Linked DNA regions of Canis lupus familiaris. The protein of the gene in region 7 purifies or fractionates together with the protein of the main gene of each other region. This does not show direct contact. Links are inferred from orthologs where the notes say so. Each region holds a gene or a part of one and is shown on either strand. Other genes may lie near its edges. The genes, in order: SNRPA1, SF3B2, DDX5, SF3B1, GCFC2, SF3B4 and DHX15.

What was found.
Region 1: the proteins of DHX15 (region 7) and SNRPA1 fractionate together in Homo sapiens (co-fractionation; 3 studies listed by BioGRID and IntAct, with this or other methods). This does not show direct contact. The link is inferred for Canis lupus familiaris from reciprocal best matches to the Homo sapiens genes DHX15 and SNRPA1.
Region 2: the proteins of DHX15 (region 7) and SF3B2 purify together in Homo sapiens (co-immunoprecipitation; 3 studies listed by BioGRID and IntAct, with this or other methods). This does not show direct contact. The link is inferred for Canis lupus familiaris from reciprocal best matches to the Homo sapiens genes DHX15 and SF3B2.
Region 3: the proteins of DHX15 (region 7) and DDX5 fractionate together in Homo sapiens (co-fractionation; 3 studies listed by BioGRID). This does not show direct contact. The link is inferred for Canis lupus familiaris from reciprocal best matches to the Homo sapiens genes DHX15 and DDX5.
Region 4: the proteins of DHX15 (region 7) and SF3B1 purify together in Homo sapiens (co-immunoprecipitation; 6 studies listed by BioGRID and IntAct, with this or other methods). This does not show direct contact. The link is inferred for Canis lupus familiaris from reciprocal best matches to the Homo sapiens genes DHX15 and SF3B1.
Region 5: the proteins of DHX15 (region 7) and GCFC2 purify together in Homo sapiens (co-immunoprecipitation; 3 studies listed by BioGRID and IntAct, with this or other methods). This does not show direct contact. The link is inferred for Canis lupus familiaris from reciprocal best matches to the Homo sapiens genes DHX15 and GCFC2.
Region 6: the proteins of DHX15 (region 7) and SF3B4 purify together in Homo sapiens (co-immunoprecipitation; 4 studies listed by BioGRID and IntAct, with this or other methods). This does not show direct contact. The link is inferred for Canis lupus familiaris from reciprocal best matches to the Homo sapiens genes DHX15 and SF3B4.

The regions. Positions count from the first base shown.
Region 1 is NC_049224.1:40,139,757-40,143,973, reverse strand, and holds the start of SNRPA1 (U2 small nuclear ribonucleoprotein A'), read right to left. Parts: upstream 2,801-4,217; 5' UTR 2,697-2,800; coding exon 2,615-2,696; exon of another isoform or gene 2,098-2,614; intron 808-2,097; coding exon 660-807; intron 1-659. UniProt on the Homo sapiens protein: Involved in pre-mRNA splicing as component of the spliceosome. Associated with sn-RNP U2, where it contributes to the binding of stem loop IV of U2 snRNA.
Region 2 is NC_049239.1:51,705,001-51,708,500, forward strand, and holds part of SF3B2 (splicing factor 3B subunit 2), read right to left. Parts: intron 3,215-3,500; coding exon 3,065-3,214; intron 2,435-3,064; coding exon 2,345-2,434; intron 2,234-2,344; coding exon 2,126-2,233; intron 905-2,125; coding exon 797-904; intron 526-796; coding exon 383-525; intron 300-382; coding exon 198-299; intron 1-197. UniProt on the Homo sapiens protein: Component of the 17S U2 SnRNP complex of the spliceosome, a large ribonucleoprotein complex that removes introns from transcribed pre-mRNAs.
Region 3 is NC_049230.1:14,616,019-14,620,247, forward strand, and holds the start of DDX5 (probable ATP-dependent RNA helicase DDX5), read left to right. Parts: upstream 1-1,429; 5' UTR 1,430-1,457; exon of another isoform or gene 1,458-1,901; intron 1,902-2,081; 5' UTR 2,082-2,216; coding exon 2,217-2,260; intron 2,261-3,478; coding exon 3,479-3,644; intron 3,645-3,976; coding exon 3,977-4,073; intron 4,074-4,171; coding exon 4,172-4,229. Other genes in the region: CEP95 (centrosomal protein of 95 kDa), read right to left, coding at 1,172-1,190. UniProt on the Homo sapiens protein: Involved in the alternative regulation of pre-mRNA splicing; its RNA helicase activity is necessary for increasing tau exon 10 inclusion and occurs in a RBM4-dependent manner. Binds to the tau pre-mRNA in the stem-loop region downstream of exon 10.
Region 4 is NC_049258.1:6,839,143-6,843,433, reverse strand, and holds the start of SF3B1 (splicing factor 3B subunit 1), read left to right. Parts: upstream 1-1,491; 5' UTR 1,492-1,622; coding exon 1,623-1,650; intron 1,651-4,291. UniProt on the Homo sapiens protein: Component of the 17S U2 SnRNP complex of the spliceosome, a large ribonucleoprotein complex that removes introns from transcribed pre-mRNAs.
Region 5 is NC_049238.1:48,133,561-48,137,733, reverse strand, and holds the start of GCFC2 (intron Large complex component GCFC2), read right to left. Parts: upstream 2,801-4,173; 5' UTR 2,747-2,800; coding exon 2,467-2,746; intron 2,376-2,466; exon of another isoform or gene 2,217-2,375; intron 2,152-2,216; exon of another isoform or gene 2,133-2,151; intron 1-2,132.
Region 6 is NC_049238.1:59,867,874-59,872,090, forward strand, and holds the start of SF3B4 (splicing factor 3B subunit 4), read right to left. Parts: upstream 2,801-4,217; 5' UTR 2,678-2,800; coding exon 2,644-2,677; intron 2,197-2,643; coding exon 2,068-2,196; intron 1,800-2,067; coding exon 1,257-1,799; intron 934-1,256; coding exon 727-933; intron 1-726. Other genes in the region: MTMR11 (myotubularin-related protein 11), read right to left, coding at 4,003-4,149. UniProt on the Homo sapiens protein: Component of the 17S U2 SnRNP complex of the spliceosome, a large ribonucleoprotein complex that removes introns from transcribed pre-mRNAs.
Region 7 is NC_049224.1:86,203,999-86,207,498, forward strand, and holds part of DHX15 (pre-mRNA-splicing factor ATP-dependent RNA helicase DHX15), read left to right. Parts: intron 1-2,177; coding exon 2,178-2,347; intron 2,348-3,500.

The DNA.
Region 1 (4,217 bases), about 46 Mb from region 7:
CTTGAGGATTTCTCTCTCTTTGCACCACTCCCTGCTCTCAGGCATGGGCTTTCATTCCCTAAAATAAATCAGTCTATCTATCTATATAAAATTGTTGAACTTTACATATCTTCTAAATATAATCCCTCTGATAATTACAATTAGTTTTAGAAGCCAAAATATGCACAAAACAGAATATTTGCAATTTAAATATCTATTACCATGAATATATAAGTATTTCTGAACAAATGCAAATAAAAACAAGACCATTACCAAGTTAATCTATGGGCCTATATGGCAAAAGTGTAGCTTGTTTCTCATTTTAAAAAGAAATACATTAAAAAAAAAAAAAAAAAAGACATACATAGGTCAGCCCCACTGGCCCAGCAGTTTAGCGCTGCCTACAGCCCAGGGTGTGATCCTGGAGACCCGTGATGGAGTCCTGCATGGGGCTCCCTGCATGGAGCCTGCTTCTCCCTCTGCCTGTGTTGTGTCTCTGCCTCTCTCTCCAAGTCTCTCTTGAATAAGTAAATAAAATCTTAATAAATAAATAAATAAATAAATAAATAAGAATACGTAGGCTCAACTGGCAGTATATGTACTATGGCTTCTTCAGGGAATGCTGCAATATTTACTCTGGGGGGCGGGGGGAGAATTACTCTCCACTAGCAGACACTTACCATATTCTATTGTTGTTCACTAATAATGTTTTCAGCCTTCTCAACAAAGGAAAACCATCCAGTTTCCTGATTTCATTGTCAGAAAAATCAATAGCATCAAACTGGTCTAAGGTAGCACCCAGATTTTCAATGACAGGAATTTTATACCCTGCAAAGTAGAAGGAAAAAAAAAAATACACAAGTATTGATATGGCTAAACGATACCTTAAAACCTTAGCAGTACTTCATGGTAATTTGACTCAAAGCTTCCATTTATTTAGAAAGTGTTTACCTGGTACCTGTGCTGTGCCAAACACTGTGCAAGTATCTGGCACATAAAATGAGGAACAAGGATCAGATGGCCCACTGCCACAGTCTAGGAGTGGACATGAAGTCAGTCATGACAACACCCGACACTTATTAATAGTAATATTGGTAGCTAACATTTGCAGGAGTATTTTTTAAGGTCCCTCACGCTGTTATAACCAAAGCTCCAGAAATAGGTAAATGGCATAATGAGAATTTACATTGTAAGCTGCTTTTTTGTCAGCGTCCAAGTCTTGTTCATACATTGTGGACAACAGCTCTTGACTCTGTTTGCATTCCCACAGGCCAGATACATAAAACTTACCAGGATATCCTTGTGATCTCATGACAGTTCTCCCTTACTGTACACTTCCCCCAGCTCCAATTCAGAGTTGAAGGTCAACAGTTTATACACAATAATACATCACCCTGTGAACAATTCACCAAACCCTCACGAGTTTGTCTTAAATGGGCATAACTACTGTGCTAGGTGCTGGCGGAAGAAAGAAACGAATCCAAGCCAAGGTTAAAGTACATAATTCAGAGCAACAAGGGTTGTAGCAAAGCAAACGCTATATCAAAACAAGTAGCCTCAACACTCGATGCACTTCACGCTTAGATGGTTAAAGATCAATCTTCGCCAAGAGAGCGACACTTAATTTCAACAAAATGAAAGCAGTCTGGCTTTGTCAGCAAGGAATCCAAGCTTAAGGCAAAGCCCACAACAGTGCTGCACCTCAGACGGTGTTCTTCTGTGGAGCCAAATCTCAGGCCCAAATTGTATTCCCAGAGAAACTGCTCTTCACATCATTCCTAGAGTCATTTCCTTGATATGCTGATTAGACAGCTGCACTCCCAATTTCCCACCAAGCCTTTACTAAGGTTGAAATGGCTACGTGAATTTGAATAGTTCAGAGCTTCTACCGCCTTACACAGGGAACTTGTACTGCAAGCCTCTTTAAAACCTTTTTTTTTTCTTTCAGTATTTTACTTATTGATTTCAGAGAGAGAGAGAGAGAGAGAGAGAGAGATGGCACAAGCAGGGAGAGCAGCGGGCAGAGAAAGAGGGAGAAGCAGGCTCCCCTCGGAGCAGGGAGCCCAATGCGGGGCTGGATCCTAGGACCCCTGGGGATCAAAGACACTTAACCGACCGAACCACCCAGGTGCCCCTCAAATGCTTTGATAAAAGAGAAATATGGGACAACTGAAGGGAAGAGGGAAGAAATCTTGCGGAAGCAATCGCTTTTGTTCTCCGACGTCATTTCCCCCCTCGCAAATTACAGGTAACACGTTCTCTTACTTACGCTCCCACAGTAACACCTGAACGTATTTACGAAGAACCAACCAGCCGCTGCGCACTAGCGTTACCAGCACGAACAACTTGCCAGCTCTCAAATAGTTGAGACTGAGAACTACGCCAAGCAAGGCCTGCCTGAGGCCCTCGGCTGTGGACCAGGAAGCGATCTACTGGCTGGGCGTGTGAGTAGGAACGAGGGTAACCCAAGGCTCAGAAGGGCCTAGGGATGGTCTCTGGCAGCACCGGGAAGACGCAGCCCCGGGCGGTGCTGCCACAGTCCGGCTCGGCGCCCACAAGGCAGGCCCGCGGGCCAAGCGCCGGCCCTCCGAGCACGCGGCTGGGCGCGAAGGCCCACCCACTCCTCGAGACTCACCCCGGAGATCCAGCTCGCGGTCCCGCACGGCGTTGGTGTACTGAGCCGCCTGCTCGATCAGCTCCGCCGTCAGCTTCACCATCCTGCTGCCTCCCGCTGCCGCTGCCGGTGCCGCGGCCCACCGGCTGCTTCCCGCCGCCTCCCGCCCGCCAGACTTCCCGGCGTACCCCGCGCCCCGCCGCCAGGCCTCACCAATCGCAGCCGGCGCATGCGCGCGCCGCTCGGCACCCAGGCCGAAGTAATCGATCGTGAGCAACGCCCACGATCTCGTCGTCTGCGGAGCTGCTGGAGCGCGCGGAACGTGTCTCGGGTTCTGGGTTTTTCCTTGGGGCGTGCTTGAAGGAGGGCCCCTGATTCCTGATGATGCTCTTGTCCGCAAGTTAAGCAAAATGTAATCGCACCCGAATAGAACTTTCTCATGCATCAATGCATTTTGAGGCGGGAGGAAACGCTGTGTCTGCCCTCGCCCCACCCAGGAGGGACGGGCACCCGGGGGATCCAGTGAAAGGTTCAGGACTTCAGGATTCCCGCCCCACCAGGGCAGGGTCGATCACAGCCCGCCCCGCTGGGATCGTCTTACCACCTAGCGCGCCCGACCCTGCCCCGCGCACAGTTCAGTTTTCGGTTAGGCTTGTGACCTCCAGGTATTTAAATATTTAACAGAAGCACGGGATACAGAAGAGTGCGCAAACCAGGAATCTGCAACGTGAAGAATACCCGCAGAGGGAGCGCACCTGCGTTGCTGCCTCCGGGTCCAGAAAAAAGAACACTTTTCCGAAAGCCTCCATCCCTTCCCAAAGGCAACCAGGAATCCCAACACCACAGATTAGTTTTTGCTTGCTTTTGATACAAATAGAGTCACGCAGCGTGCTCCCGTGCCTGGTGTCTTTGGTTTTGTGTTATAACTGGAATCCGTCCCAGGTTGCATCCAGCAATGGTTTGTTTACTTTTCGCTGCTGTGCAGAATCCCATGGTATATCTCAGACCACAATTTAGCCATTCTGCTGTTGATGGACATTAGGATCGTTTTGTCGTGGGGCTGTTCCGAATACCGCTATGCATTTTTGTTGTACGTGGATCCAATGCACACGTGTCCAAGTTTCTCCAGGAGTAGAGCTTCTGGGCATAGGGTATACTATCATCAATAAGTAATGCCTAACAGGCCAAGAGGCTGAAATAATACTAATATACATACTCTAGCTGTGTGCAAGAGGGTTTCCATCACTTCCAACCTCAGCCCCTTTAGTATTGCCAGTATAACTGTGGGGACTGGGGTGCATGGGTGGCCCAGTTGGCTAAGCGTGGGACTCTGGATTTCTGCTCAGGTCATGATCTCGGGTAGTGGAATGGAGCACGACCATTGGGCTCAGCCAGGAGCCTGCTTGGGATTCTCTCTCCCTCTCCCTCTGCTCCTCCCTGTGCATGCAAATTCTCTTTCAAATAATAGTAGGGCAGCCCTGGTGGCTCAGCGGTTTAGCGCCGCCTTCAGCCCAGGACGAGATCCTGGAGACCCAGGATCAGGTCCCACATCAGGCTCCCTGAATGGAGCCTGCTTCTCCCTCTGCCTGTGTCTCTGCCTCTCTGTGTGTGTGTCTCTCATGAA
Region 2 (3,500 bases), on a different chromosome or scaffold from region 7:
AACTGCTTACCTTGTGTTTTTCACTGCCTAAAGCAGTGCCTGGCACAGAGCTGGTGTTCGATAATTGGTTCACAAGGTGGGGAAAGAAGCGGGGGAGTGGGGGGTGTATGGGGGAGTGTAGGACAAGTCAGCCGGCTAACCCAGAAGCTGAAGGGACAAGGAAGACCTTCCCTCTCAGCCCTGCCTGGTTCCCTCACCCGTCCATTGCTTCCTCAATCTTCTTCTTCCTCAACTCAATGAGTTCAGGGGTCTCCATTCCAGCTGGCACTGATGAGAAACCTCCAGGAGTAATAAGACCACTGTGAAGAGAGAAACAATCTCTGGAGTAAAGAGAAGGCCCCCAATGATAAACCACTTACAAGGCCGACTCTGCTCTCCCCACCTGTCTGCAGGGGTAATAAAGCCTGTCTCATCTGGTTTGTCCTCATCACTTTCCTCCTCTTCCTCTTCTTCTGAAGACTCTTCATCTGATGGCTCCAGCTCCCCCCAGGGGGTCCTATCAATCTCCTCTTCCTCAGTCTTGGTCTGAAAGAGATCATTCATTCATTCAGCCAACATGTACTATGTACCTATTATGTGTCAAGTTGTTGCAAACTGAAAGTATATAAAAGTAAATACAATAATCTCTGCCTACCAAGAACTCCTATTCTAGAGGGGAACTTGCTTTACATCTCAGGAACATGCATGCCTTCTTTCCAACTTTGGAACTTCAAAACACCTGGCTCCCTGCTAATGAATCTATAAACCAACTACCTCTCCACTTCCTGACCTGAAGACAGACAGCCTTAGCTTATACCTGAAATTCAGCAGCATTGGTTCCAAACACGTCCCCATAGAGTGGTTTCCCAGTCTCATCCACTGGGGGTTTGCCCCAGCCACCAGCATGGTACCCAAAGGAACAGCTCTGCAAGAGATGAAATGCAAATCAGTTCCTCTACTAAGCTCCAGAATAAACACTGAAGCCCTGGAGAAAAGTCACACTACAAAGCACAGAACTAGCACTTGGTAACTGGAAATTATGATTTCAGAGAAGAGTTAAATGTTATAAGGCATTACAAAGCAGAAGTAGTAAGCAAAAAAAAAAAACCCCAGAGACAGCAGGATGGGGAGATGAGAGGCAGAGGGTAAAACTAACCTCAGCCTTCATGGTAGAATCCACACTGTCTGAAAGTAATTCAGGTACTTTATTAAGATATTATTTATTCATGAGAGAGAGAGAGAGAGAGGCAGAGACACAGGCATAGGGAGAAGCAGGCTCCATGCAGGAAGCCTGATGTGGGACTTGATCCTGGGTCTCCAGTATCACACCCTGGGCTGAAGGCGGCGCTAAACTGCTGAGCCACTGGGGCTGCCCAATCAGGTACTTTAAAATACGACTCTAACTTATTACTGACTTTTCCTAACTTGGGGAAGCTTTTAAAATCCTTTTTTTTTTAAAAAGATTTATTTATTTATTTATTTATTTATTTATTTATTTATTCATTCATTCATTCATTCATTCATTCATTCATGATAGACACAGAAAGAGAGAGAGCGAGAGCAGCAGAGACACAGGCAGAGGGAGAAGCAGTCTCCCCACAGGGAGCCCAAAGTGGGACTCAATCCCAGATCCCGAGATCACACCCTGAGCTGAAGGCAGATGCTCAACTGTTGAGCTATCCAGGCAACTTAAAATCTATTTTTTAAAAGGGATAAATTTTTACTTGAAATTTAACAATTACTTCTTTTTCACCTTAATGACTTTGCTATCTACTAAAATTTTTTTTTTAATTTCACACTTCATATGTTAAAATTAAAGTGTAATGCCACTCTTGAGATAAAATTCTATCTGTCCAGCCATGTATATACCCAAGAGATATCTGGTAACACATTCACCCAATTTTAAATCTGGTTATTTCTGAGTGAAATTATAAGTGATTTGTCTTCCTGTTTGGACTTGTCAATTCTTATGGACTGTTTTATGGTGAGCATGTCAGGTTTTATAAAAAACAAAAACTGCTACTTTTTTTAAAAAAAAACAGAGAGAGAGAGAGAGAGAGAGATGGAGATACGGTGGGATGAGAGAACAACAACAAAAAAAATCATCCTCTAGTTAAATAAGAATGAAAGGAAGGCCAGCGCGCACCTCAGGGATGGGGGAGTTCAGCCCAGGAATCTTCAAATTGGGGTACGATGGGGGTGGTCCATATCGCTGCATTGCAATCAGCCATGGCGGAGGGACCTTGTGAGCATTCTGCAAGAAAAAGAGAACAGGATACCATCTGCCCAGCCCTGTCCTTTGTCTCCCTTCTGCCCCAATTCCCACCCTTTTCTTGGCATCCCCAGTCAGGTAACTGGCACTCACTGGTCCTACTGGCATCCCCAAGGAAATCCGTAGCTCATCAGACAGATCTCCTGGCTTCTTCTCCTTCAGTCGTGTTTCAAACTCCTTCCCCTGAGAAAAAAGCAGAGGACGCTGCATTATGAATGCCAGACACACACTGGGAATTCAACAGCAAGAGGATAGAAAAACAAAGATGAGAAGTCCCAATCCACACCAGATACAAAATCCTACTGAGAGCTGCTGTTTCTCATCACTCCTTTCCATGGCTAGAGTAGGAAAAGAAATAAAGGCCAGGAAGGAGGAGAAAAGCGAGACTCCCAGTGCTGACATGAACCCACTTAGAAAACATGGCCAGATTTAGGGCCTACTTTCTTGTCTGTAAAATGAAGGCACTTGATGGGATGATCTCCAAGATCCTTCCACCTTGAAAATTCCTTATCGTGGTGACTGCTATTTCAATGATCCAGATGGGAAAAAAAGGAAACCTTTCTCCCACCCTCAATACTAATTTTTCCTAAAAGCATCTACCACCTGGCACCTCTGCCCCTTATTCAGTTATCACTTTCAAAACATGGACTCAATCTCTCCTCCAAAAAGACTACCTCCTTTTAAGATTTCAAATCCATTCCACCCAGGAGGAGTTAATGAAAATTCTAAGGCTAAGAGGAGCCTCTATATCAGCTAAGAAAGCCTTTTCCACCAAGAGCTACACAGCCATGACCAAAGGCCCTGTCCCCGAACCTCATAGTACAGGTCCCCGTGGATGGTCAGCTTGGGCTTGGTCTGCCACTTGAAGAAAGCATCGTGCAGTTTCTGGTAATCAATGTCAATCTTCCCCATCTTGGGCCGAACCTTCTCTCGCATTTTGGACTTCATGGTCTTCTGTTCTTCCTGTGGAGAATGCCAAAAGACAGGTCATAAAAAGTATTTACCCAGTTCAGCTCTTTATAGATCTGGCTCTCCGCTCCCAAAAGAAATGAAGGGAAACTTCATATATCTCATTCCAGAAGTCACCAAAATCCTTCCTGCTCAAACCTCTCAAAATTATATAATTTGTATCTAGCAAAACAGATGGATCATAGAAAACCATTTTCAGCTCTGTACGTTGATAAATATATTTTTAAAGCCATCTGATCAAGAGACTGACCTCATTAGCTGCCTCTGGAGAGAACTGGGT
Region 3 (4,229 bases), on a different chromosome or scaffold from region 7:
CTGGTGCCCCAAAAGGTGGTGATTAATTCAGGCTGTTAAAAAACTGAAGTAATGACCCCAACACTGCAACATTTGTTTTAGTTCTTTAAAAAAATTACATTTAATGGAGGCGCCTGGGTGGCTCGATCGGTTTAAGCCTTTGCCTTCAGCTCAGGTCATGATCCCCGCAGGATGGAGCCCCCAAGTCTGGCTCCCTGCTCACCGGGGAGTCTGCTTTTCCCCTTGCTCATGCTCTCACTCAAATAAATAAATAAAATCTTATAAAAAAAATAAAGTCAATGAATAAGAAGTAAAATACAGGCAATACACAAAGACATCCCTAAATTCAGAACTAGCACATTACCAACACTGTTGGAAGTTTCCTGTGTGCCACCGCACCCCACCCCCAGATACGGTCGGAATTAGCAAGATTATTTCACGACTTTCTCCAACAAAGGTAATTTCTAAAGCCTGACCTATTTGCTCCCTGATACAATTTAAGGTGGTTAAGAAGTCCTTCTACTTCGTATTTGACGAACTGAGCGCGTTCAAGGCACGTTATCTCCCTGTCCCCGTGCCCACTTCTCACAGCTGACCAAACCACGAGCTGGTTTGAACGCTGTCCTGAGGAAAGGATGAAAAGAAAAGCGTCCCGGACAACCCAACCCACTCGGTTTTCAAAAGCGGTTGCTAGACAATGCAGGTAACTCCAGAGGGCACTGAAGAGAAAAATCCGCCACTATCCTACTGTGGCAGGAGCATCAGCAGATCTTTAGAGTGCCGTTCCCCTCAAAACTTCAATGCACATGGAGGTAACGGCCTCAGTCCCCACAATCCAAGAGGCAGAGAGCGCGCTGACAGTGGCTGGATGCCCCAGAGAAACACGAGTCCCGGGAAGCAGCTTTCCGACTGCCCTTTTTGCAGCCAGGTTGCGGGCGTGCTGCGGGCCTCGCCACGGGGTTCTTCTCTCCACACCCCAAGATCTCGCTAGATGGCCTCTAGGAGGGGGACCCAGAGCGGGGCCAAGAAACCCACGGAACCGCCGACTGCGACTGGGTGTCTGTCACCAGCCCCGCCGGCAGCCCAGACCCAGGGAGTCCAGCCGGAGGATTCGAGATAAAAGGCCTAGGAGCGTCCGGCGGACTTAAAGGGTTTCAGTCCACACACACCCGGGCTCCGGGCCGAGACTCACCAGCCTCTGAGCCGGCCATGTCACGGAGGCAGGTCGCTGCCGGACTTCCAGCTGGGCGCGAGGCGGACGGCGTCCGGGAAGGGCCGCACAGCGCAGACGCAACGCCGAGGTGGGGGGAGAACGAAACGAAAGGGCAGGGGGTGAAAGAGGGAGGGACGTTAAAACGGCTTCTTGCTGCTGATTGGTCATCACGGGAGGACTTCCTTTCGCAGCACGCGCCCAGGCGGCGGTTTGTGGGCTCTAGGTACCATTCTCCGCGGGCAAGATCCCGCTGAGGGATTCTCAGGTGGGTGGATTTGACAGGCCGGGTCACCCAGCGGCCCTGGCCGGCCTCCCGGGGGCAATAGTACGGCACTTCCGGCGAGCTATTTCGTTTCGTATTCCTCCGCCGACGCCAAGTGGAGAAGTAGTGCGGTCCGCTTACCCGATGGGCGGGAGCAGTCACGTGACAATGTCAGGCTCCGCCTTCCCGTCTCACTTGGTTAGGGGCGTGAAGGCTCTTCGGAGACGTAAACATCTCCAAGTGGGCTGAGTGGGTTGGTCTGTGCTGGCCATTTTGTCGGCAGGGCTAGACCTGGGAAAGGGCGGGGTGGCTTCCTTGAGGTGTGGAAAGACGAGAAAAAGGTGAAGAACACAGAGTAGGCTAAGGCGTCTCAGTGCGGGTGGGCCCAGCCGTGAAAGGGGCCCCAAGCCGGCGACTCTGAGGGAAGCGGAGGGTGGGGGTGGGGCGAGAACATGGCGGATCCCGGAACGCCGGCGGGCGTTGCGGCCTCTGCGCAGGGGCGGGGTGATTAGGTCATAGAGCGGCTCCCAGCATTCTCCGCGGCGGAGGAGGCGGTCCAGGCTATAAAACCGGCTGCCGGGACGCGGCCGGCACCTCATTCATTTCCACCGGTCTCTTGTCGAGCAGCTCCGGCCCCTGTCATCGCCGCCCCGCTGCCGCTGCCGCCCCCGCAAGGCTTTGCCATCGCCAAAGCCACCTGCAGCGACTCGTCGCACCCGATTCTCTTTACTTCGTTCCCCGCCAACCGCAACCATTGACGCCATGTCGGGTTATTCGAGTGACCGAGACCGCGGCCGGGATCGAGGGTGAGTGTGGGAACGGACTTGTCAGGCCCGGCAGTGGGGGATGGGAGGCCGATGAAGGAGGCGGCGGGCGGGGGCGATGGACAGTCGGCTTTTTCCGGCTATATTTAACCTTTACGAATCGAAGGCTTGCGCCATTTTGATATTTGTCCGGAACTGACAGAGGGATGTTTCCCTGTTAACGGTCCTCAAGCTCGCCTTTTGTTGGTGGGGGGATGGGGGAGGCGCCGAAGCCCCCGCCCCCGCCGACTGAGCAGCTGTTGGGGACAATTCGGGGGAGTGTATTTCAATGGTTGGAAAGCGCGACGCTTTCAGGAGAACGAAGTCACCGCTGTTCGGTGCATCTTTTCGGGAAGTGTTGTAGGGGCCCCGGGAGTTCTGTGGTAATCGAAGGGGTCGCCTCACGAGCCATTGATGGCGCGGGAGCAGGAGGGCGGCCGGCACCGCGGGAATCGGCCATGTGGCTGAGCCGCGGGTACAAAATGCCGGCGCCGGACATGGCGGCGGCGCCTTTGTTACCCCGCCCGGCGGAGGAGCTCAAAATGGCAGCGTCGAGAAAATGTGGCGCAGAGAGAAATGCGAGACAAAGGGGGAAGCGCCGCCCCAGCGGGAACGCCGCCCGGTCCGGGACTCCTCCCCCGGTAGTTGCCAGCTCCTCCTCCTCTTTTTCTTTGCGTTATATAATTTTGCTATCTTGATGAGGAGCCCTCCGGGGGGATCCCCCCAATTCGATGGGCTTGCATAAATGTCTCTGAGACCACCGTCCTTGTTCTGTTCTCGTTGGTGCTGTCCCATTATTCCTTAGAACCAAAGCTGCTTGGCTTGGAAAGAGCTGATAATAACATTGCTGTTACGCACCTCCCTTGTATTGTCTCTCCCCCAGACATTTAATGCCTAAGCTCACGGGAAAGACTAGGAGCCACAAGCTGTTGTCTATCCTTGTAATCTGAACATGGGGCGTTTGGGCAGCCAATTTCCGACCTGATAAATCCCGGGCTGTTGATTTGGCTTCAATAGTGTGTATTTGGGACAACGGAAAGTGAGAGAGATGGTGCTAATTGTGGCTTTTGAGAGCATGACCCATCACTAAGGACAGTGCTAAGTCTTAAACCTCGAAAAGTCTTTCATTTATCTGTACTGTGTGTCAAGGGACAATAAATAGTCTGTATGTAAACGTCTTAGTAGGTAGTTGAAAATATAACTTTTTTGTTTTAATTTCAGGTTTGGTGCACCTCGATTTGGGGGAAGTAGGGCAGGGCCCCTATCTGGAAAGAAGTTTGGAAACCCTGGGGAGAAATTAGTCAAAAAGAAGTGGAATCTTGATGAGCTGCCCAAATTTGAGAAGAATTTTTATCAAGAACACCCTGATTTGGCTAGGCGCACAGCAGTGAGTAATTTCACAGGGCTTCCTTGGGCTGTAACTCAACAGTGACTTTTAGTAAACAGAAATTTGAACAGAGGCCTTGGAAAACTCATATTTTCTGATAGTCGAGGAAGAGGAGGTGCTTTGGCAAGTGGTATCTTTGAATTTTTCTGTTTAGAGTGGTTAAATATAACTACAATAGATGGATCTTGTGCTCTGTAGGTTTTCTATATGTGGATATAGATTTTAAATGGCCCGTTACAGTTTGCTAATCCTTGATAAACTTAAGGCCTGCTGACTGCATATTGGTGAAGGTTGTTATGGTACTTAGTAGGTTATTAAAATTTGTTTTATAGCAAGAGGTGGAGACATACAGAAGGAGTAAGGAAATTACGGTTAGAGGTCACAACTGCCCAAAGCCAGTTCTGAATTTTTATGAAGCAAACTTCCCTGGTAAGTGCTAGTTCAGAGCACTCACTCCCCCCCCTTTATTAATTTCACCCTTTTTCTTAGCTTCACTAAATTTACTGAATTACTGTTGCTAATTACAGCAAATGTAATGGATGTGATTGCAAGACAGAATTTTACTGAACCCACTGCAATTCAAGC
Region 4 (4,291 bases), on a different chromosome or scaffold from region 7:
AATTCAACAACTAGAGTTTACCAATAATTCATAAAATTACATGTTCTTGGGACGCCTGCATGGCTCAGGGGTTGAGTGTCTGCCTTCAGCTCAGGTCGTGACCCCTGTGGTCCCTGGGATCCAGTCCCATGTCAGACTCCCTGCAGGGGGCCTACTTCTCCCTCTGCCTGTGTCTATCTCTCATGAATAAAATCTTTTTTTAAAAAAACAATCTACATGTTCTCTTAACCCTTTCCTCCCTCAACTATTGTTTAACCTAAATTAAAACAATTGAAAATTGAAAATTTTCTCTCATCAAATTGATTTTTTTCATTGATACTAAGTCCCATTTTTGTTACTAAAGTTTCTACTAAATACTCATGTTGTGATCCTGTTACACAGCCAGGCAAACGTTTTTGGTGATAGCTCTAACCTTAATCCTTACCTGTTTCCTTAGGCTGCTTCCTGTACCAACTTCCCCTCAAAGTTATGTTCTTTTTTAATCCTAAAGTCCAAGGCCAGTGTGGCAGTTCAAAATTATGCTTTTGTAATTGAGGAGTAGGCAAAAAAAAAAAAAGAAAAGCCATATTTGGAGCTTTTAAAAATTCCTGATTCAAGAGTGACATTTAGGATTAAGAGAGGCATTCCAGGGATCCCTCGGTGGCGCAGCGGTTTGGCGCCTGCCTTTGGCCCAGGGCGCGATCCTGGAGACCCGGGATCGAATCCCACGTCGGGCTCCCTGCATGGAGCCTGCTTCTCCCTCTGCCTGTGTCTCTGCCTCTCTCTCTTTCTCACTGTGTGTCTATCATAAATAAATAAATAAAAATTAAAAAAAAAAGAAAGGCATTCCATCAGTGTTAATGCTGACAGCCAGTGGTTTTCTAAGAACCTATGAAATTAAAAGGCTTTAAAAAAGGACGGCACAGTTCCTCCCGGGTAATTCAGTAAGGGTGTGACCTTGCATATTTTATTTACACCCCCGCCCTAGTTTTCCTCTCCTTTCTTAAATGGGATTAGCAACAACTCGCCCACTTTCCTGGGTTGTTTGTGAGGTACAACAGTGTCTGGAAATAATAATGTTGTGCACGAAACTCCTACCCAAATGGCAAGTAATTCTTTAAGAAGAAAGAAAAATGACCTTGAATTTCAGCGCGAAGGACGTGACTGGTGTGTGTCTCCACAACTACCCACTGCAGCCGCTGAGAGACGCCACAGGAGCTCTCGCCTGGCACCGACACACCTCCGCTCGACGTGGAGGACGAGAACTGACGGCCTGAGGCTTCGGACGGGCCTGAAATCCAGCGTCTCTCGCAGTGACTATCAGCGGGTCCTCGCACAACCCACTTCCCTCCAGAGCAGTCGCCGTCGCCCCCGCCCCCGCCCCCGCGTCAGGACTCGCTTAGCCCTCCTCCTCCCGCCACCGCGAAAACCGCCTCCGCGCCGGGCCCTGGCTCCTCCCCCTCCCCCACAATGCATCGCTCTGTTCCCTCTAGGCGGCTGCTCCGTCACGTGTCGCGCGGCGGCGCGCGCCCCCGCTTGGCGCACGCGCAGAGAGCATTCCCCAGCTATTTTTCTCCGTGGCAGCGGCGGCGAGCGGAAGTGCTGGGGAGCGCCAGTTCCGTCTGTGTGTTCGAGTGGACAAAATGGCGAAGATCGCCAAGACCCACGAAGGTAAGGCGTCTTCCCGTGCTCCCGCGTCTTCTCTGCTGCCAGCCTGCCAAGACTCGATTTTACTCGGTTTTTGCCTCGGCCTGTGGTTTCGTTGGTGGGGTGCCGCGCCCGCGCGTGGGGGCCCTGGTCGGCTCCTCGGCGCTAGCGGCGCAGGCCACTGCCCCACGTAATGGCGTCCTACTCCTCCACCGCGGGCAGGCGCTTTGTTCCGCGTTTGGGTCCTGTTCCTTCAGAGTTGCTTCTCTTTTCCGAGCGGAAGGCCTCGTTCAGACGGCTCGCCGGGGGGGAGGCCAGGGCCGCGAATCGGGGAAACGGGCGTGAAAGCCGGGAGTCGCCCTCGCCTCACGGAACTGTGGCGGGCGCAGTTCGTGCCCGGGGGAGTCGGGGGAGCCCGGGAACACGGCAGCCGCTTTTCGGCAGCGCCAACTCGAGCGTAGCCTGCTTGAGGCCCGTTCCTCTTCGTCTCGGCTAATCAGGCATCTAAAATACTTTTTTTTTTTTTTTTGTATGAAGTGATTTGGACATAAAATCTGGTAGTTTTTTCTTCCCGTGATCACTTGTATATTGGTGTTTGTTCCCCACCCCCCCCCCTTGGAGACTGATGATTGGTGGAAGAGGGAAAGGCACGTTATTATTCCCAGCGGTCAAAGCTTTCGAGGTACCTGATCGTTTTGTGGAATTCGGAGAACACGGAATTTAGGAAAATGCTGAGAATAAGCCGGAGTTCTTGAGGGAGTATCCAGTTTCCAGAAATGACAGGAAATAGGGTCACTTCAGAGAAGATGAGGCATGGGCATTGGGAGGCGCGTTCCTTAGGATTTTTTTTTTTTTTTTCTGACCTGGAATCTGAAGCGTTCGTCGAACGGGAGGCTTCCAGGAGTCATTTGTATTTTCACGGGTCGTTTCCAGGTGCTGGCTCCGTGTGAGTCCGAAGTAACAAAGAGTAAGGCCGTGCAAAGTTTTACAGGCTCCTGGGGAGACAGGTGTGTGTGTGTGTATACGTTTTCATTCTTTCATGAGGCAAATTAACGCTTAAATAGAAATACAGGCCGCATGTTCTGGGATTCTGGGTAACGGAGTGATTAATTCCTGCCTAGGTAGGACTCTTCCATAGAGGAGGTGACGTGTCCCTGGCCTAAACGGATCAATCCGTTTTAAATTAGGGGAGGACATTTGAGCCTGAGAGGACATCTTGTAACGAGGCAAGGAGTCCTGAAAAGTGTGTTTGAGTAGTGGACTGTGGCGCTGCAGGGAGGGAAAGTGTAGGCGAATCTGGAAAGGTTGGTTGGGACCAGGATGTGAATGCCCTGGAATAATTGTGTTCCCCGCCAGAACTGAAGTCCAGCTCTCTGCGACATGCTAATTAATGGGCAGTGACTTTAATACTCTTCTCGTTGTGGGGGTAGGTATTTAGGATTTATTTATTTATTTTATTATTATTTTTTATATTTTTTTATTTATTCATGAGATATTTTTTATTTTATATGAGATATATATTTTATTTTATTTATTTATTCATGAGAGACACAGAGAAAGAGAGGCAGAGACACAGGCAGAGGGAGAGGCAGGCTCCCCCACAGGGAGCCTGATGCGGGACTCGATCCCGGAACCCCAGGATCACGCCCAGGGCCAAAGGCAGGCACCAAGCCGCCGAGCCACCCGGGCTGCCCGGTATTTAGGATTTAAACACTGTTTTAGCCCTGAAGGTTGTTTAGGCACTTACTCTTCTGTCTTTAGACTAATCCGGATGTAACCTTTTGCAAAATAATTAGAAACTGAAGATGTTGCTCTTGTTTATTCAGGAGTAGGCTGTTCATTGGGGGCAGTTTGTGGCTTTGATCACTTGTTTGTTGATATTTTTAATCATAAAGATACTTTTGGACAGGGAAATCAAGGTTTGGATCAGGTTTCCTGCTTTTTTGAGACTCAATTAAAAGCTTTGGTCTATAGAAGATTGAAGTTGATTGGCCAAGTTTGCTTTTTTATTTGGAATCTTGCTACAGTATGAATTAACTGATGCTATAAAGAAAGTATAGCAGTATTCAGTTAACAACAGCACTGTGTATAAGACAGTCTGTCACTGTGAGTTTTTGGTAAAGGATGATCAATGTTTAGTGGAAATATGCATAATATTTACATAGAGATACTTTCCTAAAGATCTGGAATGGTTCATGGTGCATCTCTTCTCTTTTCCCTTAATAAGTCATCTCTGATAGCCTGGAGCAGATTTCTTGGTGGGTTTATTTATTTATTTATTTATTTATTTACTTACCTAGGTGCTACTGTAGCTCTTTATTATACTAGAATATTCTATTGTGTTAAGGTTTTTTAAAAAATATTTATTCATGAGAGAGAGAGAGAGAGGCAGAGACACAGGCAGAGGGAGAAGCAGGCTCCATGCAGGGAGCCTGACGTGGGACTCCATCCCGGGTCTCCAGGATCACGCACTGGGTGGAAGGCGGCGCCAAACTGCTGAGCCACCCGGGCTGCCCAAGGTTTTCTTATCCACGTTGAGACTGATGTGTACAGGAACTATTTCTTGGTATCCCCAGTACCTAATGCCTAATGAGTACTGAGTATTAACATTTATTGAGAGATTATATTGGAAATATTAAAAGTTTCACAGAAAGGGGCCGCTTAA
Region 5 (4,173 bases), on a different chromosome or scaffold from region 7:
TGCTATTTATACAATGAAGCAAAAACAGTGGTGGGTAAAACTCCTGCCTTCTTTTTTTTTTTTTTTTTTTTTTAATTTATTTATGATAGTCACAGAGAGAGAGAGAGAGAGAGAGAGAGAGAGAGAGAGGCAGAGACACAGGCAGAGGGAGAAGCAGGCTCCATGCACCGGAAGCCCAACGTGGGATCGATCCCCGGTCTCCAGGATCGCGCCCTGGGCCAAAGGCAGGCGCCAAACCGCTGCGCCACCCAGGGATCCCAACTCCTGCCTTCTTAATATGAATCAAGACAGTGACAGCAATCTGTAGTGGCGGCCATTGTATTCTTCACTGCCATGCATTGCCAGGAAAACAAACAGGTAAACTTACCATCCTTAATAGAGCAACAAAAAGTTATTAAATTTATTCAATCTTGACCTTTGAGGACACATCTTTTAAATAGTCTATGGAACAAAACGGAAGTGTGTATTAAGCACTCTGGGGGGCATACTGAAACATAATGGTTGCCTCACTGAAAAGCATCTGTATGAGTTGTACGTTGAACTAGCCACTGTCTTCAAGAAGCAACAGTTTTATTTGAAAGAATGACTGACAAACTCTAGTTATTTCTACATGTCTACCTGACACATTTTCTCAAAAATGGCAAAGATGTGCCTATCACTTCAAGAATTAGAGATTTCAAGTGAAAACTCGAATTTTGGAAAACTTATATGCTACACAGTGAACTTAATATCTTTCCATCACTTAACGACTGATGATTATGAGAAGTAACACAGTAACATTAACAGATTCTTTTGGATATTATATAAAATGTACCAGCATTTGCAAACCCAGTGAACCAAGAGTTTCCAACAGTCAATGCAAGATTTTACCAATTGTGCATGGGTAAAAGATTCATTGAAAATGCAAAACAGACCAATGGATTTTCACGTAATGGAGTATAAAAAAACTGACAAGTATGATTTCAGCTGCCATGTTGCAAAATGACCTTCAAGAAACTATTTTTTGTTGATTTTTTTTAATATCAAAACAGAACACCCTCAGTCATCTAAAAAGGCTATTAAGTATTCCTATTACACCACAAACCTGTGGTTTTCTTTTCATATTTCAAATGAAACATCACAACAGATTGACTACAGAAGCACCTTTGAGAAGTCGGCTGTATTATTCGTTGAAGCCAGACATTAAAGACTTGTAAATTGAAACAATGTCATTCTATTTTCTGGAAGAGTGTCCCCCCTCAAAAATGTTACCTATCCGTACAGGTAATGGTTTAATTTAGAAAAAGTGAATAAAAAATTATCTTAATCTCTACCATGGTAAATATCAATAGATACAATCTACAGAAACAAAAGCTCTTTGGGATAGTCTCATAAAGGAGATATTAAGACCAAAAAGTTTTGAGAACCACTGTTTTAAATGCAAGCAAAAAGGCAACTCCTGGCCTCAATTCTCCCAATTAAAGTTTGACCAGGTGACTTCCATAGAGTAGAAAAATACAAAAAGTCTTCAAAGCTTTAGACAAACAGAAGGTCGTAATGAAAGAAATCACCAAAATCACTTGTACTAAAAATAGTGGTGGAGAAAAATTCTACCTCAATACTAACAGAAAACTGCATTTTTATTAAGCTCCAATTCAAAACGGAACAACTGTCAACAACTTTACGTTGCTTAAATTCTGTATTTAAAAACGAAAGGGTACTTCAAACTACATTGTACTTAACGCCATATACAGTCTACAGCGTCATCAATCCATTATGCTACTTAGTGACGTAGCATGTTATTTTTTTTAAAGATGTTATTTATTTATTCAAGAGAGACACACAGAGGCAGAGACACAGGCAGAGAGAGGCGCAGGCTCCACGCAGGGAGCCCGACGTGGGGGACTCGATCCCAGGACCCCGGGATCAGGCCCTGAGCCGAAGGCAGACGCTCAACCGCCGAGCCACCCAGGTGCCCCTGGAGCGTTATTCTTATTTCCCTTCTTGCAGATAACTGATGAAAAACAAAACAAGCACAAGAAAACGTTCCAAGTGTCTGCTACCTATATTCTTCTAATGTACTATTCTGGTCAAAGTGTTTTCTGGAAAAATAATTGAGGATGTTTCCAAAAGTACGTAACACTTTCCCCTACCTCAAAGTACTAGGAAAAAAAAAATTTTTTTTTTGACTTCTGTGACGATTTAGGTTCTTCACAAACAGCAAATACTGCACTTACAACTGCAACCGGTGGGAGTTCACCCGATGGTGCAAACGCAGAGGAGCCACAAACCACGCAGGGTTCCTTCCAGCCCCCCGCCCCACCCCCACGCCGCCCAACGCGGACATGCGGGCAGCGGGCGAGTGGGTACCGGAAGCCGTACCAGGACCGCTCCAGGACCTTCCCCAGAACCCCGCGGGCCTCGTCCCCGCCCCCACCCCCACCCCCGTCACTTCCGGCGCCCCTCCGCCCCGCTCCCCTGCCTCACCTGGGATGCCCGAGCCGCCTTCCGCGCGCGGAGCCGCCCCCGCGGCGCGCCGGGAACTCGCCCACACCCGGCCCCGGCCCCGGCTCCGAGGGCCGCGGCCCCGAACATGCCGGTCCGCCGCTTCCACACGGCCACCTCCCGGGGGTGGCCCTTCCTCCCCAAGGCCCGGCGCCGCCTGCTCCCCCGGCGCCCCGGGTTCAGCAGACGGCTCCTCGGTGCTGTCGCTGTCACTAGAGTGGGTTCGGCGCTGCCGGAAAGTCCTCTTCGGCCTGTGAGCCATGGCCGAGGCCCGAGCCCGACGCGCGCCTCCGCCCCCGCGTGCGGCGTCCACGGCGGCGCGCGCTCCCGCCTGCGCCGTCCCGCCGCCGTGCGCGCGCCCCCTGCGCCCTGCGCATGCGCGCTCTGTCCCTTTCGCTCGGGTCTGTGGACTGGTTTGCGGGGCGGCGGCCTGGAGGTGCAAGGCCTTTCTCAGGCCTGGTTGTGTTGCTCCGCCGAGTCCGGCAGCCTCCCGGAGCTGGGCGCCGCGGAGAGCATCGCTCACCGGTTCTCCTTGGGCAAACTCTAAGATTCAGGCGCTGCACCTGCCTCCTAGACTGGAACCCCGTTCGCTGCCTTCCGCTTTATTGAAGAGAGTAAAGTTCTCTCCAACCAAGAATTAAAAGAAACAGGGATCCCTGGGTAGCGCAGCGGTTTGGCGCCTGCCTTTGGCCCAGGGCGCGATCCTGGAGACCCGGGATCGAATCCCACGTCGGGCTCCCGGTGCATGGAGCCTGCTTCTCCCTCTGCCTGTGTCTCAGCCTCTCTCCTCTCTCTGTGTGACTATCATAAATAAATAAAAATTAAAAAAAAAAATTAAAAAAAAAAAAAGAATTAAAAGAAACAAACCAGAATGCTGTGTGTGTGTGTGTTTGGGGAGATTGCTTCTGAAAGCTAAACAGGAAAATCTGCACATAAATGATAGAGAAGTACGCAAAAACCAAAAGATTGCTCTCAGGGGGCAAGGTTTCAACAGAGCCTGGTTAAATGCTTTGGCTCATGGGGGCGGGGGGGATGCATCAGAGAAAAGGGGGTGTTGTTCAGAAAGATGTGCGGCAGTAAGAAGGATGGCAGACCCCGCGGGAAGCTTGGACTGGATCCAGTCACACTGTTGAGAGAGAGGAAGCCTTGATGGGGGACTGGGGGTAAAGCCCATACTTAGTTGGACGCCTCTGACCACATCCATCTGAAGCAGATAACCGTGGAGTTCCTTCGCATTCTCTCGCCGGGTTTGGCCCCATGCTCCACAAAAGTTTTAGTTCGTGCTTTAAAGTTCAGGAAGGCTTTCCAAGAGGTTTGTAGGAAGGATTGTTTTAAGAGGGAAATTTCCCCAGGCTCCCCTCCCTCTATATGTAGCTGCCCCAGAACCCTCCCTTTGGTTCTCTCTCCATGCCTGTCTTCTCCGGTAAGGGCCATAAATTCATAATGTCTTTTTTTTTTTTTTAACAGCTATCAGTGTGAAAATTTGTCCTAAGTTTTTCTTGTTTTTACTTAATAAGTTCATTAGTCTGCCCTGGTGCACAGGTGTTCATGCATCCACACAGGGCCCATGTCGTCTTCTCTCTCTGCTTCTTACAAAGAGACATGATTCTCTATCCATTCTGAATGTGCAATAGTATATACACCCACGTGTAAAAACTCCCGCAGCATCTAAAGTTTTGTTGTCAGGAT
Region 6 (4,217 bases), on a different chromosome or scaffold from region 7:
ATAAATAAAAATTAAAAAAAAAAAAAGAAAAGAGAACCAGATACAAAAACCCAGCTACATGGAGAGGGAGAAAAGCCTACTAATGTGGCTAACTTTTTTTTTTTTTTTTTTTTTAATTTACGATAGTCACACAGAGAGAGAGAGGCAGAGACACAGGCAGAGGGAGAAGCAGGCTCCATGCACCGGGAGCCCGATGTGGGATTCGATCCCGGGTCTCCAGGATCGCGCCCTGGGCCAAAGACAGGCGCCAAACCGCTGCGCCACCCAGGGATCCCTAATGTGGCTAACTTTAAGGAGTCTGAGACAGATGAAAAATCCAGAAACACCAAGAGGCAAGCTTTTCAAAAAGGACAACACACCCAGTTTCAAGTACACCAAATGGCAAACCAGGTAAAGAATGGAAGTGCCCCCTCTATTTGGCAATTAGGTCACTGCTTTGGGGTAGAAGTCGGAGGAGAAAAATGAAGTAAAAGTTAAAGGAAAAAGCAAACGAGTACAGTTACACTCTTTGGAAAAACTTGTATAATAAATGGAGACAGGGTGGTAGCTGTTAAAGTAAACAGAGAACAGTGTCTCGTGTTTGTTTTTATAAAAGAATGTCTGAAAAAAAAGCAGAGCTCCGGGACTATCTACTATTACTGCTGAGGGATGAGGGCAGCACTGCATGTGGCAGTGGAGCTCCTCCAACAAGCTTATCTATCCTTTTCCCCAGCAAAGAACACTCACCTGGATGGGGCATCCCACTTGGTGGGAATGGGTGAGGATGCGAGTGTCCATGTCCAGGATGTCCAGCCCCTGGGGTTCCTGCTGATGGTGGACCGTGTCCTCCAGCACCGGGAGGCATAGGTGGCGGGGGCATGGCTGGGGGTATCCCGGGTGGAAGGGCTCCAGGAGGCGGCACCGGGGGTGGGAAGGACCCAGGAGGAGGCATGCCTATAGAGGAAATGAAAGACAAGTTAACGATAGTAAGGAGAGAATGTCTTTAGAAAGCCCGTTCAATCTGGCCTCCTCAGGCAGGATAAGTTCTCTTCCCTTCCTCCCAGCTCTCTAAAATCAGAAGCAATACTAGATAACTAGGAACAACTTCAGCCTCTTCAACTCAACAACTTTCTCCCCACAACTGTCACCCCTCACTCTCTTTCTCATCACCTACTGACTCCATGTCCCCCTTTATCAAGTTCTTTTCTCCTCCCCTTGCCCCCGCTCACCACCACACCCCAAGCCCAAGACAAAAATACTTTGAATAAAAGCTTTACCTGGTGGCGGGAGCCCAGACCCCAATGATGATACGACAGGATTGGGGGCTGAAGGCGGAGGGGGTGCATCTGCAAACAGCTGATGAGGGCGGTCAGCCTGGGAGAGTGGGTTCTGGGCTGCTAGAAGTCGTTCAGCTGCTGAGCCGTGGCGCTCCCCTTTCGAGTCCTTCTTGAAGGCATAGGACACAGTAATGGGGCGATTACAGAGATACTGCCCATTCATGGCCTCAATAGCTGCATCCGAAGCGTCAAATGAAGCAAAATTAATAAAGGCATAACCTTTGGAGTTGCCTGTATCAGGGTCCCGCATAATCTTAGGGGTTTGTAAGATGACCCCGAAGGCGCTGAAAGTATCATAAAGCAGCTTCTCATCAATTTCTGGGTCCAGATTGCCAATGAAAATGTTGGCCCCCACGTCCAGGTTCTTGTTGTGAGCCGATGCCTTGTTCACTCGTATTGGCTTCCCATATAGTTTGATCATGTTCATGATCTTAATGGCATAGTCAGCATCTTCCTCACTCAGGAATTCCACAAAGCCATAGCCTGGGAAGTAGAAAAGCAGAGATTAACTTAAGTGAAGTGATTCAATTTCGTGTGTAACTCATGCACCTTCCAAAGCACAAAGAACATGAAATAACCACCTCACTTCAACTGGGAATGGTTCCAGAAGCAAACATTGAATGACACTTAAAAGGAAGAATCTACAGGTGATTCCAAAACGGCTATGAATACTGCCTATGAATACTGCCGGAACCCTCCAGGAGCAGCTTGTCCCCTCAATGCATAAACACGCCTCTTGTGATGTACTCACCTTGGTGCTGACCTGTGACTCTATCCTTTGGCATGTGGGTGTTGACTACTGGCCCTGCCTGGAGAAAAAGCTCCCACAGCAGGGGTTCGCTAACCTTCTCATCCAGTCCCCCGACGTAGACAGTGGCATCTAAGAGAAATGAGCAGATTATGGCAGGGATGAGACAACGACGGGAAAGAAGGAAGTGACAGGCGGGGGAACTGGGAGTGGAGATGGGATATAGGAACAAAAAAGGAAAAAGACGTGAGAGTAAGCCCTTACATCTCTCTCATTCCAGAACTAAAGAACCTTCTTAAGTCTAACTGAAGGTTCTGCTGCAAATTCTCTGTGAATTGCTTTGTTTTTGGTTTTCGTTTGGGTTTTTGTTTTGTTTTGTTTTTTTGAATGGGAAGGCGCAGGAGATTGGACAGAGCATCACAACCACAGGCCTCAGCCTGCACCCGGCCACCCCACCCCCAGCCGGCACGGGGGCCGGGTTCGCGCCCTCCGGGGGGATCCGATCTCCTGCCCCGGCGAAAACACGGCTGGCCTTCCTCGAGGCCTCCCAGCCTCCCTGGCCTCATCCCCTCCAACTACCCTGGTTCCGCTCGGAGATCGGGCCGGCCGCCATGGCGAAAGAGCTCCCGCCGTCTCCAGGCAGCGATCCCGCCCTCTGACCTCAGTCAGTACTTCCACTTCCGGGGCGAAGGTAGTCACGAGGGCGGTGGGCGGGGCCTGATGGGGGAGGAGCCGGAAGAGGCCCCGGCCATCTTAGGAGTTGCGGAGACTTGATGCGGCTTGTGGGGCCGCGTTCTCCGGTCCGTGGTTCTGCGCGGATTTGCCGCTGCTAGCGGTCAAAGCGATGAGGGCCGAACGGAAATGCCCAGACCCTCTTAAGGCAGTGCTGGACGTTAAAGGATCACAGTACTCCTAAAAATGTAAACTCAAAAGCTAAAAGAACAAAACTTTATTTAGAAATATTTTGTTGGCAAACTATCCTTTTGTTCCCCGGAGAAGGGTGTGCTGAGGAAACCCTCCAACCCAAGGATTCGGCTGCCTTAGGGTGCGGAGGCAGCCCTCCACCGTGGCCCGCGGCTTCTGGGGAGAGGATTGCGGAGTGTCTGAGCTGGAGTGGCGTCGGAGCTCACATGATCCTGTTGCATGGGGGAGATGGAAACCTGAGGCTCAGAGATGATGTGTGCCCAGAGCTGAGGGTACCTGACATTGCAGCCCAGGGGCCTCAGTTTCAACCGCCAGAATACCCCGGGCCCACCAACCATGTCTTTGCATGCTCTTTGCCCCATCTTACGAAACGATTAGTGTGGACAGCCTGACCTATCTCCATATTTCCTGAACAATAATATGGTGGGTCCCTTCTTCTCCCGGTTTATCATCGCTTTTTTACTTAGGATCTTTTATTCAGACACCAGAGATAATGCCAGCAACTGTACTTTAATGAACTCGTTAAATAGAAATGTCACTACAAAATATACAATTGGGAGAGACAGGATGTGTCCCATACCCACTAGCATACCCATAGAAAACCAGAGGGAAGAAACAGAAATTGGAATTAAGCAGCAAGAGGAGGTGAGAATGAGTTCTGTAGGCCATCTCCTTTGAACTGATGAACAGCATCTCTCATCTCACAGCTTATCGGCTGGGTATCCAGAGGGATGGAATTGCCCTGAAAAGAACAAAGGTAATCGTATTCTGGATTGCTTTTGTTTCTTAATTCCTCAAATCATGAGAAACATATCTCGAGAATGAAACAGGACAGGGCAAGAGTTGGAGAAGGTTAGCACCACCCATCTGCAACAGAAAGGTCAGTGAGCTTGTTGAGGGCTGGAGTGTCAAAAGCTGAGACAGCAAGACCAAGATAAGAAAAATTGGAGGATTAGACAGAACCTTCCCTCACCCCGGACCCCCTCTGCCATGCCCATAAAAAAGACAACAATTTCAACGGGACTGGGAAAGAATGGTATTTGGATCTCTTTTCTTGGAGTGATCCTCAGGAGATACTCTTGGTGTCCATTTCCTTAAAAGCTCCTGAAGATGGGATAGCTCATCCTGGAGGCCAGAGATTGTGGGAGCTGAGAGGCCTTTCTGAGAAGGGGGTGAAGAGAGGCAGAGAGGAATATTATTATAGCTCTAGCTCCCTATTTCTGAGATGT
Region 7 (3,500 bases):
AATGCCTCTGAATATTGACTTTATATGTTATGTCTAGATTCTCAAGTGAATTAATATAATATACTAATTTTATGTGTCTAATGAGTAACAGATTAATTTGTTAAATGACAAAGTTAGTAATCCAGTTATGTAGAAATCAATTTGTAGTTATTTTTTAATTAAGAGTCTTTATTATACCAAATGATATGTTAGCCATTTTCAGGTGGGATTAACAGCTATTTCTTCAATGTAAATTTCAGTTTTTGGCTTTTGATTTTAAAATATTGAAACATTTCTGTGAATCTAGGTGGTAACTGGAGAGATACAGTTATAAATCGTGCTAAAACATTGCAGTTGTCTGGGTGGATCCAAGAAGTGCAGTTCACTTTTGTCTTTATATAGCAACTAAAGACTACCCAAAAAATCAAGTATTGAGATAACTGTATTTCATTCACAGTGCTGTAGAATGATCATGGAAATATATAGCAGACACCTGGGTGCTGCAAAAGCCAAAAATGTCTTTTAAGTGATAATGATGAAAAATAATTTAAAATGTTTTATTTAGTTTTAAGTGTGTTGTCGTGGGGACGATACTAATTGAAGTATATATAGCTTGTCAGGTAAACAAAGTGTTTAAGAGATTTTAAATTATGTTTTAAACTCATTCTCTACTGGTAAAAATTGAAAACAAATCTATCCATTACTTGGGATTGGATTGATTTTAATTATCTCTTCTATCTCCTGTTTGTTTTTTCATTTTCTATTTTGGCTATGTCTTTAAGCAAGATGTAGCCTGCCTTAAGGCCAAATGAGCTGAATAAATAGAACGGACCCAAATGCTCAAAATCAAAATAAAAATTGATTGGTGCATAGTCTGTAGTTGAAATCGTAATAACAGTAAGAATTTTTATTATGGCATCTCATATAAGATCTCATTCATTAAAGTTAGGAAAATAATAGAGCTAGGTATGAAAATTCATTCTAGACACTTTATTCTTAATATATAATATATATTAGTATATAGTGGCTTTTTGACATATTCTTAAATTTGCTTGTAATTCCAAAAACATTGACAAAGCCATATTCAAACATGGATTTCTACTTTGAAGATTAAATTTGTTAGAAACAGGGCATGCACTATAGTACCTAGGACCTATTAATTAGGTACTTAGTATTTTTTAAAGGAAACTGAGTTCATTTTCTGTTATTAATACTTACTCATTTCTATCATTGACACACATTCTTCATATTACTATCTAGTTCTAGAATTAGAAAGGGCATATCAACTGTTTCAGTGTTTGCTAATTAAATATTAGGTAGACATATTTGATTACAGATAGAAGAAATGCAGGCAAGAAGCATGTGCACCTTTGTCCCCTCTATTCTTTTTATTTTTTCGTAGACTACCATTTGCTTTTCACTCCTTTTTGCTTTATTTTTTCTATCTTAATTGTGAATGTTTTAGTAATTGTTCATCTACTACACAGTTTGTCACCTAGCACTAAAGAACCTACTCTAGATGGTCTAAGGCAGGAAGGACTGGATAGTGCATATTTAAGGCTCTGTGGACCCATTCAGTCATTCTGAAACTACTTAGCTCTGCCTCCCCTTGCAGTGCAAAAGCGGCCATGGGCAAATGGGCTCCCTGGGTTCCAGAGAAACTTTATTTTTTAAAGATTTTTATTATTTATTCATGAGAGACACACAGAGAGAGGCAGAGACACAGGCAGAGGGAGAAGCAGGCTCCATGCAGGGAGCCCGATGTGGGACTTCATCCCAGGACTCCAGGATCACGCACTAAGCCGAAGGCAGACACTTAACCACTGAGCCACCCAGGTTTCCCTCCAGTGAAACTCTACTTAGGAACCCTGACATTTGAATTACGTGATTTTTACTCGTGACCAGATATTTTCCTTTTGCCAGCCCCACCCACCCACCCACCCTTCCCCATTCTGTAAAGATGTATAGAGCATGTTTGTCCGACAGGCCTTTAACAAATACAAGCAATGAGCTGGATTTGGCTTGCAGGAGTTTGCTTATCCCTGCTTTTATCAGGCAGTTGTAAATAAGTGTAGCCATTGAATAAAAAGCAAAAGATGAAGCTTCTCTGTTCCTAATTATAGTAGCTTTACAGCACTTTTGCTTTATAACTAGCACATCAAAAGCATTGTATTAATTTTACTGGGTTTTGGTTTCAGGTGGCACATTTAGAACGAACAGGGCATTACTTAACTGTGAAAGATAACCAGGTGGTTCAGTTGCATCCCTCTACTGTTCTTGACCACAAGCCTGAATGGGTGCTTTATAATGAGTTTGTTCTTACGACAAAGAATTACATCCGGACGTGTACAGATATCAAGCCAGAATGGTAAGCACCACCCTTTGTTTTAAAGGTTTTTGTTAACATTTTGCTCAGAATGGAATCTGATTTTGTTTCAGTAGTCATGTCCTGAAGTTAATGTTATCATCAGCTCAGGATATGTGCTCCAGGGTTTAGGCATGGGGCTTCGACCTGATGGTATGGTTGATCTCTTTAAATCTTTGCTAAGAGAATAGTGGGATTGTTGGTATGGGCATGGGCAGGATTTGAAGTCAAATATAAAATTGTAGTTGACTAGAATCAAAGACTATCTTTGGAGCTATTCTCTTGTTGTTGTGATCAACTCAAGTCTCCTGGTACTGCACTAGAAATGAATCTGTCCCATTTATCATTAGCTCTGAACTATTTATTTTTATATGTTGATGCTTTAGACAGAGTTAAGCAAACATAAAAGCTACACATCTTGTGTCTTAGCATATTTGATTTACAAATTGTTACTGGAACTGATTGTGTTATCTTAAGCAAAATTACCACTCCTCCCCTTTTGTGTGTCTTGTTTTTTGTTTTGGTTGGTTGGTTGGTGGTGGTTTTGCCAAAATCCATTCCGTAACTTAGGATTAGAGATGTCAGCCAAGAATGGTGGGCTGAAAGCACTTATTTTAGTTGTTGTCACTTGCTAGATAGTGTGAGGCTTTTTTCCTACACAGATTTATGACTTTTGACACTTGTGTAGGACATTACCATTTTATCTTAAATGCTTTTTGGAGAAAAAATTCTATGGCTAAACATTTAAAAAGATTCAGTCAAGTGAATTCTTTGGGGTATAGATCTATATTTATAGTTATTAAACTTGGAAAATGAGAAGATCCAATCATTTGAATACAAAGATATTTCTCACTTAGAACCTGTATTAATACAACCTTGGGGAGGTTGGTCAAAATAGGGTTATTAAAGAAATTAATAACCTTATTTTAATATCTTTACATTAGTGTAAAGAAAGGTTTTTTTTTTTTTTTTTTTTTTAAGTTACAGAAAGTCCAACATCAGAAAATTTACAGCTTACTAAAATAATGCATTTCTGAAAGCGGTGTTTATATGGATTAGGCATTTGCAATTGTAATGTTGATTTGGATTCATAGATTTGCCTTTGTTCATCAGTATATTAATGAGTAATTCTTATCCTATTAGCAACTCCAGTCTT